2 linked regions of the Arabidopsis thaliana genome follow. The protein of the gene in region 1 interacts with the protein of each later gene in a pairwise test. Each region holds a gene or a part of one and is shown on either strand. Other genes may lie near its edges. The genes, in order: AT5G39790 and AT3G60150.

Region 1 (5,448 bases):
TTATAAGAAGATTCCAAAAGCACAAGGAAGAAGATTCGACAGAAGATCAAGTACTTCACTTCTTCTCACAAGTAGACATGAAACTTGTGACAAGAGTCTTGAATATGTCTAAATTGACTAGGGACCATTTGGTTTGGTGTCACAATAAGTTGACTAAGATTAACTTCGTAAATAGAAGGTTACATTTAGATCCTTCCTTTTGTCTTTTCCCTTGTTGAGATTTTTGATATTGACAAATTTGTACATTGGAGTAATAATGAAAATACAAATTTTGGCCTCATATTATTGTTAAGTAAGACTCATAAAAAGTCCATCAATTTTTGGCTATTACACTTGATGACTTTTATTGATTTTCACTAGGGTTGGATGTGGTCCACAACTGAACCAAATTGGTTAATTCCAAAATGTTAATCAAAACCCGGTTATCTCCCTAGTTCATTTAAATGTCTCTTGACCGGAATATACTGAATGGACCAGAGTCTACTGATAATAAAGTCTCTATAGATTCACACACTCGTTTTCCGGGATAACCTGAAACCACTAGTTCTGGTTTAGTACATTATTTCTAAACTCTTCTTCATTCTTCTGTTTCCAATATCTCTTTCTTACAAACCAAGAAATTTCTGATGTACATGGAACCTACCTATCTTCTCTCTATGGATTCAAAGCTAATGCCAAAACAACAATGAAACGAAATCAAAACCAAGAGAACTTTTGAGAGATGGGAAAAATTGATTGGATTTTGTGTGAACAAAAGATAAGAAATCCAAATGACTCCTGCCACCTATTATACTATTCCTTGTATCTAATACTCAGATTCTATTGTCTACAATCTCATCCACACCAATCTTAAATGTTTACGGGTGTAATGCAGAAAGATGAGTGGCTATTCCACCACTAAAACATTGTTCTCCATCAATCCTTCTCCTGAAGTAGGAAACTCGGGTGAGATCTGCCATTCTCCATCCACTAAGAACTTCATCTCGTACCTAAATTTCACAAGAGATTGAAAACACGAATAATTTCAAACATTAAAAGTTGATGTTGAATGCAAAAGAATAAGAGTAGAATAAAATTTAAATAGTACCGCCCGGGACGAAGGAATAACGTTGTGGAGAATTTGGTGAATAAAGCTGAGTACTCAGGCGATAGATCCTCACGTTGGCTCCATCCATCGAACGATCCCATTACTTGTACACTCTTATGTGAAGATAATCAACAAATGAGATTAATTTTGAGGATAATATATTAAGCTTAGAATGTTAAAATGCATAATGTGAGATTATTACACTACCTCTGCCATGCCAATCCAGAACACATGAACCTCCTTTGACTGTGCAGCCTCGACACCTTTTATTTGTTCTTTCATCTTTTTTTGAACAGCTTTAGTGGGAGAAAAAAATAAAAAATTAGTATATCATTCCAGGGATTTGATGAGCGCCTAAATAATGATGAAACCAAGAGGGGATGAGAAGAACCGTCTAAACGAGAGAGAAGGTGCGATTGAATGTACTTTCCACTGATTTTTCTAGAACCTTGTGGGATACCAAGGTTTGCTATTTCTTCCGCCAGTTTCACCAGAGCCTATTTCCTCCAGAAAGTGATATCATGAAACATTTCTACTAAAGAAACTATACATATGTGCTTGTGCATACAAAAATCTGAAGCTAAATATTTCCCAATATTATAACCAACAAAAATATGTATTTGATTGGCAGTAGACATGGGATAATGACAACTAAACCAAATCAGCTTAAGGCAATGAGATAGTGAGACCGTGACATTGAAAAATCAAAAGTAGAAATAAAGACCTGAACTTCGAGCTCCATAAGTGCAAGCTCAGTTTTGATGTTAGTTATCTCATGTTCCTGTGTTTTAAAGCTGCAAAAAGAGTTCAAGTAGTCAACAAACAAGTCAAATAACTCGTTTTGTCCCTTGATACGATGTCTGTTTACAAAGAAAAAAGATGATGTATAATAGCATCAAGAATATAAGTATTGAGGATTAAATCTCAAACAAGATTCATCAAACACACAGATGAAGAACAGTGGAAAGTGTATTTAAGTATGCAAATGATTCATCATCATCTTCCAATTTGATACAATGCCGGTTTACAGAAAAAGAAGAGAAGTGAAGGAAAATGTTTCTGTGACATCACAGACATGTAACTCCCTTAAACCTTGGAGGTTTTTCAGTATTTTTCCAAGAGTGTGATAATATAAAATCTGATAGACACTAAATTTCTTAAATAGAATAGGATATAAGGTTGCAGGTTTCTCAAATCATCTAAGAGAATGGACAGATAGAGGTACTAAAGTAAGTGTATAAATATAACACAAGCACCTGACGCTTGAGGAACCGATTCTGTTGATTAGCTTCACTCAATTTTTTAACAAGCTTTGATCTCTCTGTATCAATGAGCAGTGACTTCAACTACAGAACCAAATGGAGAGTTTGTTAGTTGGTACAGAACATAGTTTCTTTATCATCTGAGAACACATACGCTTAGATAAACAGGAGAAGAAGATAAAGCTTAACCTCATCACTAGTGAGAGGTCGAGAAAGAGATTCATCTAGTAAATCTTCTGACAGTGATGATTCCTCAGTGCCAACACCAACTAAAAATCTCTTCAAAAGCAAACTGTTCTTGTAATGTTTTCGAGTAGAAGCTACCAAAGGATAAGGAAGTTTCTGGAAATGGGAGATTGTGTTCAATCTACACAAATTCCATGCTCTTAAGTTCCATGAAAGAGTAAGGCTTTGGCTGTTGAAGAAGAAGAATCACTTCAACTAATAGAAACTTAAAATACTATAATGATGAATCATAACAAGTTTGGTTTCACATCAGCAAAAATGTGAATTAGAATAAGAAAAAGATATGAAATTTTGTACCTTGAACAACCAAATTCAATTCTGGGTACACATCCTGCATCAGAAAGACTCACAAAATTAAAAACTTCAACTTGTATCATCAAAATTCAGTAATGTCTCACATAAATCAAAATGCTACTTATCTTACATATATACCTAAATTAAACATTAGGGTTCTTTTATAGAACTTGAATTCAACAGAAATGTGAACCAAAAAAAATTAAAAAAAGGAATGATTTTTCGACTTACCCATGATTGGATTAGACTCTTTTCGTCTTGCTCAACACAAAAAAAAATTGATTAAAAATGTCTAATTTGGTTAAAAACTCTCAAAAATATCGAGAAAGCTGTGAAGAAGAAGAAGAAGCTGGAAACACTGATAAACCCCAGAACCAAAAATAAAAAATCTAATTTGTTTTTCTTATCAATGGCTACAAAACACGTGCGTAAATCTAAGAACTAATTTTCAAATATGGTCCCTATAGTTTCAAAGAGTCACATTTTTCCTGAAAACAAACAATTTTCCAAATTCCACCAAAACAAACGACACCGTTTACTGTCTTCAACCTTTAACCTCACTTAAACAAACCCCCTATTTTTTGGCCTCTCTGAGATTTTCACACTCTTCTCTTCTCAAGCTCCGTATTTTTTTCTCAATAGTTGATATAGATCCGTTATTCCATCGATTGAGATTGATAGATTTGGTGGAGAATGACGACGATAGGAGGATTGTTAATGGGGATTGGAAGATCATTCAGAAGAAAGAGATCTTCTTCTCTTGACATTCTCTCTCCCAAAAGAGCTCCAAGAGACTTTTACAAGGGCAAAAACTGCAAACCTACTGGTTTCCACACGAGAAAAGGTTCCAACTTTCATCCTAATTTTGAGAATCAGTTCATTTCTATCTAACACTTGTTATAGTTTAGTTGATAATTGCAATCTTGTGTTATTTGTTGTTTGAACTAATTGTTAGGAATTTACATGGCTTAAGATTGATTCTTTGAGTGGAAAGCTAACAACTTTAACTCAATTGTGGCAAAACTACTAACAAGGAAAGGTTCACTGAAACTGCAACTATTGGTTTGGTTTTCACTTGTCATGCTGCAATCCATTTCTATCTAACACTTGTTTAGTTAGTTGGTGATTGAATCTTGTTGTTCTTGGTTTTGAATTAGATATATGTAACCTAAGGCAGAGCTTTTATCAGTTTAGTTTTCATGCCTTACGATATCAGATTCTTTTGGTGGGAAAGCTAACAACTTTAACTCAATTGATGATCATCATAATGTTTTTGATAATTGAGTGTTTTTATTAGATATATGAAATCTAAGGCAAAGCTTTAGATACCAGATTGTTGTTTAGGAGGAAAGCTAACAACTTTAACTCTATTTTGGCAAAGAACTGATCATCGGTTGCATGTGTTACTAGATTCATAATTGCCAAAATTGAGTTAAAGAAGTTAGCTTTCCACTCAAATAAATGTGGTAGCTTAACTCGAATTGTACATGTGTAGTATACTGTTTTTGTATTTGTTTCTAGACTTCATTTTGGCAAAAAAAACTGATCATCATATTGTATATGTATTTTGCATTTGTTTTCGAGACTTCATTTTATCTTTACCTAAGTTTTATGACATGGTGTTTTTGCAGGAGGATATGTTGTGCAGCCAGATAAGTTGCCGAATTACGTAGTCCCTGATCTCACCGGCTTTAAGGTTTTTCATTTCACCCTCTAAACTCTTATGTTCCTTTTATCTTTGATACTTCTAGTATGTACCTTGCATCTTAATTGAAACTTGAGAACCAAACATTAGTGAGAAATCTTCTTACAAGTCTTGTTGGTAGAATCTCCTTAGGTTCATCCTGATAATTATCTTGGTTTGTTCTTGTTGTAAGGTTTTTGAGTTAGGGACCTGAAATGGGAATGCTTACTTAATTACATTAACCTTTGTTGTGTGATTTAGCTGCTCTGCTGATGTATATCTATTTGGATTTTACAGCTGAAACCATATGTATCTCAATGCCCGATACAAGTCAACACAAACGAGTCAACTGAAGCTTCCAAGTGAAAAATAGTCAGTCAGAAGATATATATGTTTTTAAGTCTTCTTCATAAAGCTTTAAGTTATGATTATGTTCTTCTATTGTCCGTAATCCTTATGTGCTATTCTTAAAATGGGAGATTTGGTTTGATATTTTCACGAAACGATATGCAAAGTAATTGGTAACATGTTTATGCAGTGGAATATATATTCACTTGATAAATTGGATGTTCACATAGTAAAATAGCTTGATACAAGAAAACATTATGCGTTATGCAATACTTAGCAAAATAAACATCAACAACATATTAAAATTCTTACGAGAAGATGAAAAAACAGTCTCACACTCTCTTGAATGAGCTTTGTTATCAGAGAAACATCGAGTTGTCGATAAGAAGGTTGTTGTTGGTAATATCACTCGTAAACAGGTTCTGATCATAACCACAAGGAACATGCGGCATCAACCCATAGTTGTTGTTCACAGATTCTTGTACCGCAGGAGCAGAGTGATCTTGTGTGTTTGAGACAAAAGAATG
Region 2 (4,270 bases), on another chromosome or scaffold:
ATGTATGTAACAGTGGTTGAAAATGGAGAAAACTGGAGCGTAGGGCAGAGACAGTTAGTTTGTCTTGGGAGGGTGTTGTTGAAGAAAAGCAACATTCTGGTGCTTGATGAAGCCACTGCTTCTGTTGATTCTGCAACTGATGGTGTAATACAAAAGATCATCAATCAAGAGTTTAAAGATCGGACAGTGGTGACTATTGCACACAGAATCCACACAGTGATAGAGAGTGATCTTGTTCTGGTTCTGAGTGATGGTAAGAACAATATACATGTGTTTTCATATACATTCACACACATAATTATGAGGTCTAAGTCACTTTTCTATGAGCAGGACGAATCGCAGAGTTTGATTCACCTGCCAAACTGCTACAGAGAGAAGATTCTTTCTTCTCCAAACTCATAAAAGAGTATTCGCTGAGATCTAATCACTTTGCCGGCTCGAATGATCTTCTCAGCTAAACACCACTAAAAGATGGATGATCTTTTGCAGAGAAAACGAAATATGAATTCCACAGTTAAGCTTAAGTTGAAAGTCTAACTAGTTATTTAGTACTACATAAGTTGAACATAGAAATGGAGAGAGCACCATGGTTAGAAGCATGGCGCATCGAAGAAAATTCAGTTCAACATTTTAATCAGTACTTGTGTTTTAGGTTCTATACTGAGTTTTCAGTGTGTTCTTGGAGAACTATCCATGTAACCAATGGAATAAAGCAGGAATCTATATCTTCTATTTTTTCAGATAAAGCTCAATCAAATTAAAGCTACGTAACAAGGTGGTAATCCTGTAAATTTCGATTTTTTTGCAAAAGTTTTACAAATAGAGTGAAATATATCATTTACAGTAGACAAGAAGACCATGTTGGTGTTTCAACTATAAAGATCGAGTCAAGCTGTTCGAAGTTTGTTCTACAGTATTCCAGAGGTGTTGAGTTTCTTACGATGTAACTCCATAAGGAAGCAATGCAGCAGCCACGATCCTGCCTTCCTCATTGAGTATGTTGTAAGTTGATGCAGCATTTCTCTGGATAGATCAGAGCGTTAATCAATAAGCACAGAAAAATACTCCAAACCAACAGAACAAATACTTGAATAGAACAAAGGACATACAGAATCAACAGTTTCTAGCTTCATGCCGATTGACTTTACGAACTGACGGACTTGGGGATTCAGTGGGTGGTTGTATCTTCCACACCCGACAATCAAGAGCTCTAGAGATTGTTTTGAAAAGAAAAAAACAGAAAAAGGAGAGTCAAAAACCACTGATGATACACTTCAATATGTGCAAAAGGTTTTTACTTTTTAGCCACTAAAAATATGGCGTACGCAAACGTATCATACAGTTTCCAACGATCCTGGAACAAAGACTATTGTATAAGGAATGTGGAAGAAATCAACTTACAAAATGCTAAAATGTATAGTACCTGGAATTGGTCGAACCGTCTGGAAGATTGACAAGCTGCATCCATGAATTAGACATGTAAAGTGTTTAGCAATGACACATTAACTTCAAAGTAGAAAGAGTAGATAGATATTACAAAGTTAGATCAAACACAGCAAACAGATACTAGTACGTACAAGAGAGGCCACACTAGACAGACTTCAACTTTCGCTGAAAAGGACTTAACTAAACATTCATTAGAGAGGGTCATGAACAATGAAAAGATTATAACTTTACGCAATCTCTTAACTCTAGCTCTAGTCCTGTATAAGTAAGCTGAAGAGAAGGGAGAAGGTGGTACTGGTACCTATCCGTTGTGATGTCGGAGAAGTAACGAGGGCTCCATGACATTAGCAAATTCCCAACACAGAGCAAGCTTCCTTCGTATTTAACCCCATTCACAGTGAAACTCGTCTCATCAAACCTGCAAAAAGCACCATTAATTGATTCATTTCATACCCGAAAATCCAAATTCCCTTGCTACATAGTCAAATTAGGAACATGACTGAGAGAGATGAATACTCCTGAAATCGGAGCTGATCCTCAGGAACGTTATCGATGAGATTGATCTGATCGTAGAGAGAGAAAGCTCTTCTGAGAGATGGTAAGACAAGACTGGGCTGCTTCGTAACTTCGTTTCTCATGCTTTGAATCAGTTTCGGCAACGTCGCCATTGCTTTTTGTCTCACTGCCATCTTCACCGTCTCCAACTTCTCCGCGCTCTCAAGTCTAAACTGTTCCCAAGGGAAGACTCTTGAACCAAAGCGGTTTATTGGTTTCGGTTTCTAACCAGAAACCAATGATCCAAATCGGTTTGCACTATTTAATTGCAACCATTCCGATACACTACTTACTTCTTTCTTTTTTTGGTAAGTCAGATACACTACTTACTAAACAGATTGATTATTCCGTTTACGTTTCGGTTAAGAGTTTTTTATTTATTTTCTGTTTACCAATTTAAAACCGAATGTATACAGTAGATTGGTTTGATACTAAATTTTAAGGAATGTAAAACCGTTTAATTTGACTAATGCAAAACCATTTCATAATTTTAAATCGATTTTTAACTATTCGGTTTGTTTTGGTTTAGATTTTTCATATTAATGACGTCAAATCAGAAGGCAATCTTACGGGATAAAAAATATAAATGAATATATTCATCTTTCAATAACAAAAACGCAAAAGCCAAACGTTATGAGTTTTTTTTAATTTTCTTCAATCTAGGTCTACAGTGAAAAGAAGAAAAACAAAACTGGAGTCCACATCTTAGAACGAGAGACACTTCACCACGACTCAGGGACCAGTCTGCTTCGAGAAATGGAGCGACACCGAGTTTGACTCTATTTTCACCAAAGATAACAAAAATCTCCTGAAAACTATATATAAGCTTCGGATATTTTCTGGTGTAACTATAGTAGTTTTATTTTACATCGGACCGGTTGTTACGTTTTTGACTTTGCTCCAATGTTTTATGCCAGCGATAAGTGTTGCTGACGAAGAAGAAAGCTAGCACAAGTTTTGATCTCTGACTGGGTACTGTATGTAATTGTGTCGTTTTTGGCTGCTAAAATGTTTAAGAAAGCCACAATTTGACACTTGTCAGATAAAGATCCAGCATATTTTTGGTGACGTGATGAAAGAGATTGTGGTGCGATCAACAATTTGTTAACGATGTCAAAGAAGGTGATCCTCATCCAATATTATTATAAACTGTAGAAAAAGAAAAAAAACAGTTAAAGAAGTAAAATATTGTTGTAAGAAATAACAAATAACCATGAGATAACAGTTTAAGAATAGTTTATAATATACATCGCCTTGCCGCGAATAAACATTTATATAAACTTAGTTTAAAAAAAAAAAATCATATATATGTTGATTAACGATATATAATATTGTTTATATTATGAAATTTTTTAATTGGCTGTTGAACTCATTTGAAGCGTCGGATTAATTAACAGCTTTAAAATAATATATGTATATTGTCACACAAAGCCAGAACCCATCATGCCAGTATGCCACCCATTAGATTCCAAGAAGAAAATATTACCATGAAAATGTTCATATATTAACATGAGCTAAATTCTAATTAACTACATGTCCAACCATAAGGAATTTAAAAACATAAGGGATTTGAAATCAATAAAATGAAGATGGGTTCTCTATGCCTTGCAAAACACCAAAATGAGTATGAGGAAAATCAAAGGAGCAACGATTATTCTCCTCATCTCTCCTCGATTGGTTCATTGCCATGAAAGATGCAAAGAAACCCGCCGATTCTTCGAAACCCTTAAAAGTCTTATTCCCTTCCGCGCGTGACATCTCCTCTACCTCCTCTTTGTTACTCTCTCCGACGACCGATTTCTTAAGGAACCGCTTAAACCATTTGACCGAATCTTTTGGATAACGTTTGAGACCATTGACAAAATCAACATAGTATAGACCAAATCTTGCAGTGTATCCATGCTCCCATTCAAAATTGTCCATCAATGACCATGCGTAATATCCTCTTACGTCACACCCATCTTCCCTATAAACATATCATAAATTTATTAGTTAAAAAAAACTCGACCGAATTTGATTAAATATTGTCAGAAAGATCAGAGACTAAACCAGAAACAGATCAAGAACTAACACTATAGCTTTGTGAAGTTCTTCGAAATGTGTCTTATGGTATTCAATCCTAAATGTGTCCTTCACAATTTCTTCTCTTGGTTTTGTACCGTCGTCGTTGTCATTAATTCCTGTAATTCAGTAATCAACGTAAATTATTAATAGTCACACCATTTTTTTTTTTTTTTAAATCAGTTTGTTGAACTGGTTAGGGAAATAT

What was found.
Region 2: the proteins of AT5G39790 (region 1) and AT3G60150 interact in a two-hybrid assay, tested with the Arabidopsis thaliana proteins (one large-scale study listed by BioGRID).

What each region holds. Positions count from the first base shown.
Region 1 is NC_003076.8:15,931,998-15,937,445, forward strand, and holds AT5G39790 (PROTEIN TARGETING TO STARCH (PTST)), read right to left. Parts: upstream 3,274-5,448; 5' UTR 3,125-3,273; coding exon 3,121-3,124; intron 2,927-3,120; coding exon 2,893-2,926; intron 2,765-2,892; coding exon 2,539-2,764; intron 2,434-2,538; coding exon 2,336-2,433; intron 1,882-2,335; coding exon 1,812-1,881; intron 1,585-1,811; coding exon 1,479-1,584; coding exon of another isoform or gene 1,384-1,478; coding exon 1,295-1,383; intron 1,201-1,294; coding exon 1,088-1,200; intron 990-1,087; coding exon 887-989; 3' UTR 560-886; downstream 1-559. Other genes in the region: AT5G39785 (hypothetical protein (DUF1666)), read left to right, coding at 1-218; AT5G39800 (Mitochondrial ribosomal protein L27), read left to right, coding at 3,583-3,733, 4,521-4,585, 4,871-4,939; AGL98 (AGAMOUS-like 98), read right to left, coding at 5,281-5,448. UniProt on the Arabidopsis thaliana protein: Involved in targeting GBSS1 to the starch granule.
Region 2 is NC_003074.8:22,220,017-22,224,286, reverse strand, and holds AT3G60150 (NADH dehydrogenase ubiquinone 1 alpha subcomplex assembly factor-like protein (DUF498/DUF598)), read right to left. Parts: upstream 2,316-4,270; 5' UTR 2,136-2,315; coding exon 1,963-2,135; intron 1,865-1,962; coding exon 1,748-1,864; coding exon of another isoform or gene 1,666-1,747; exon of another isoform or gene 1,459-1,665; coding exon 1,424-1,458; exon of another isoform or gene 1,212-1,423; intron 1,211-1,211; coding exon 1,110-1,210; intron 1,024-1,109; coding exon 937-1,023; 3' UTR 775-936; downstream 1-774. Other genes in the region: ABCC9 (multidrug resistance-associated protein 9), read left to right, coding at 14-253, 331-458; DIN2 (Glycosyl hydrolase superfamily protein), read right to left, coding at 3,577-3,967, 4,073-4,181.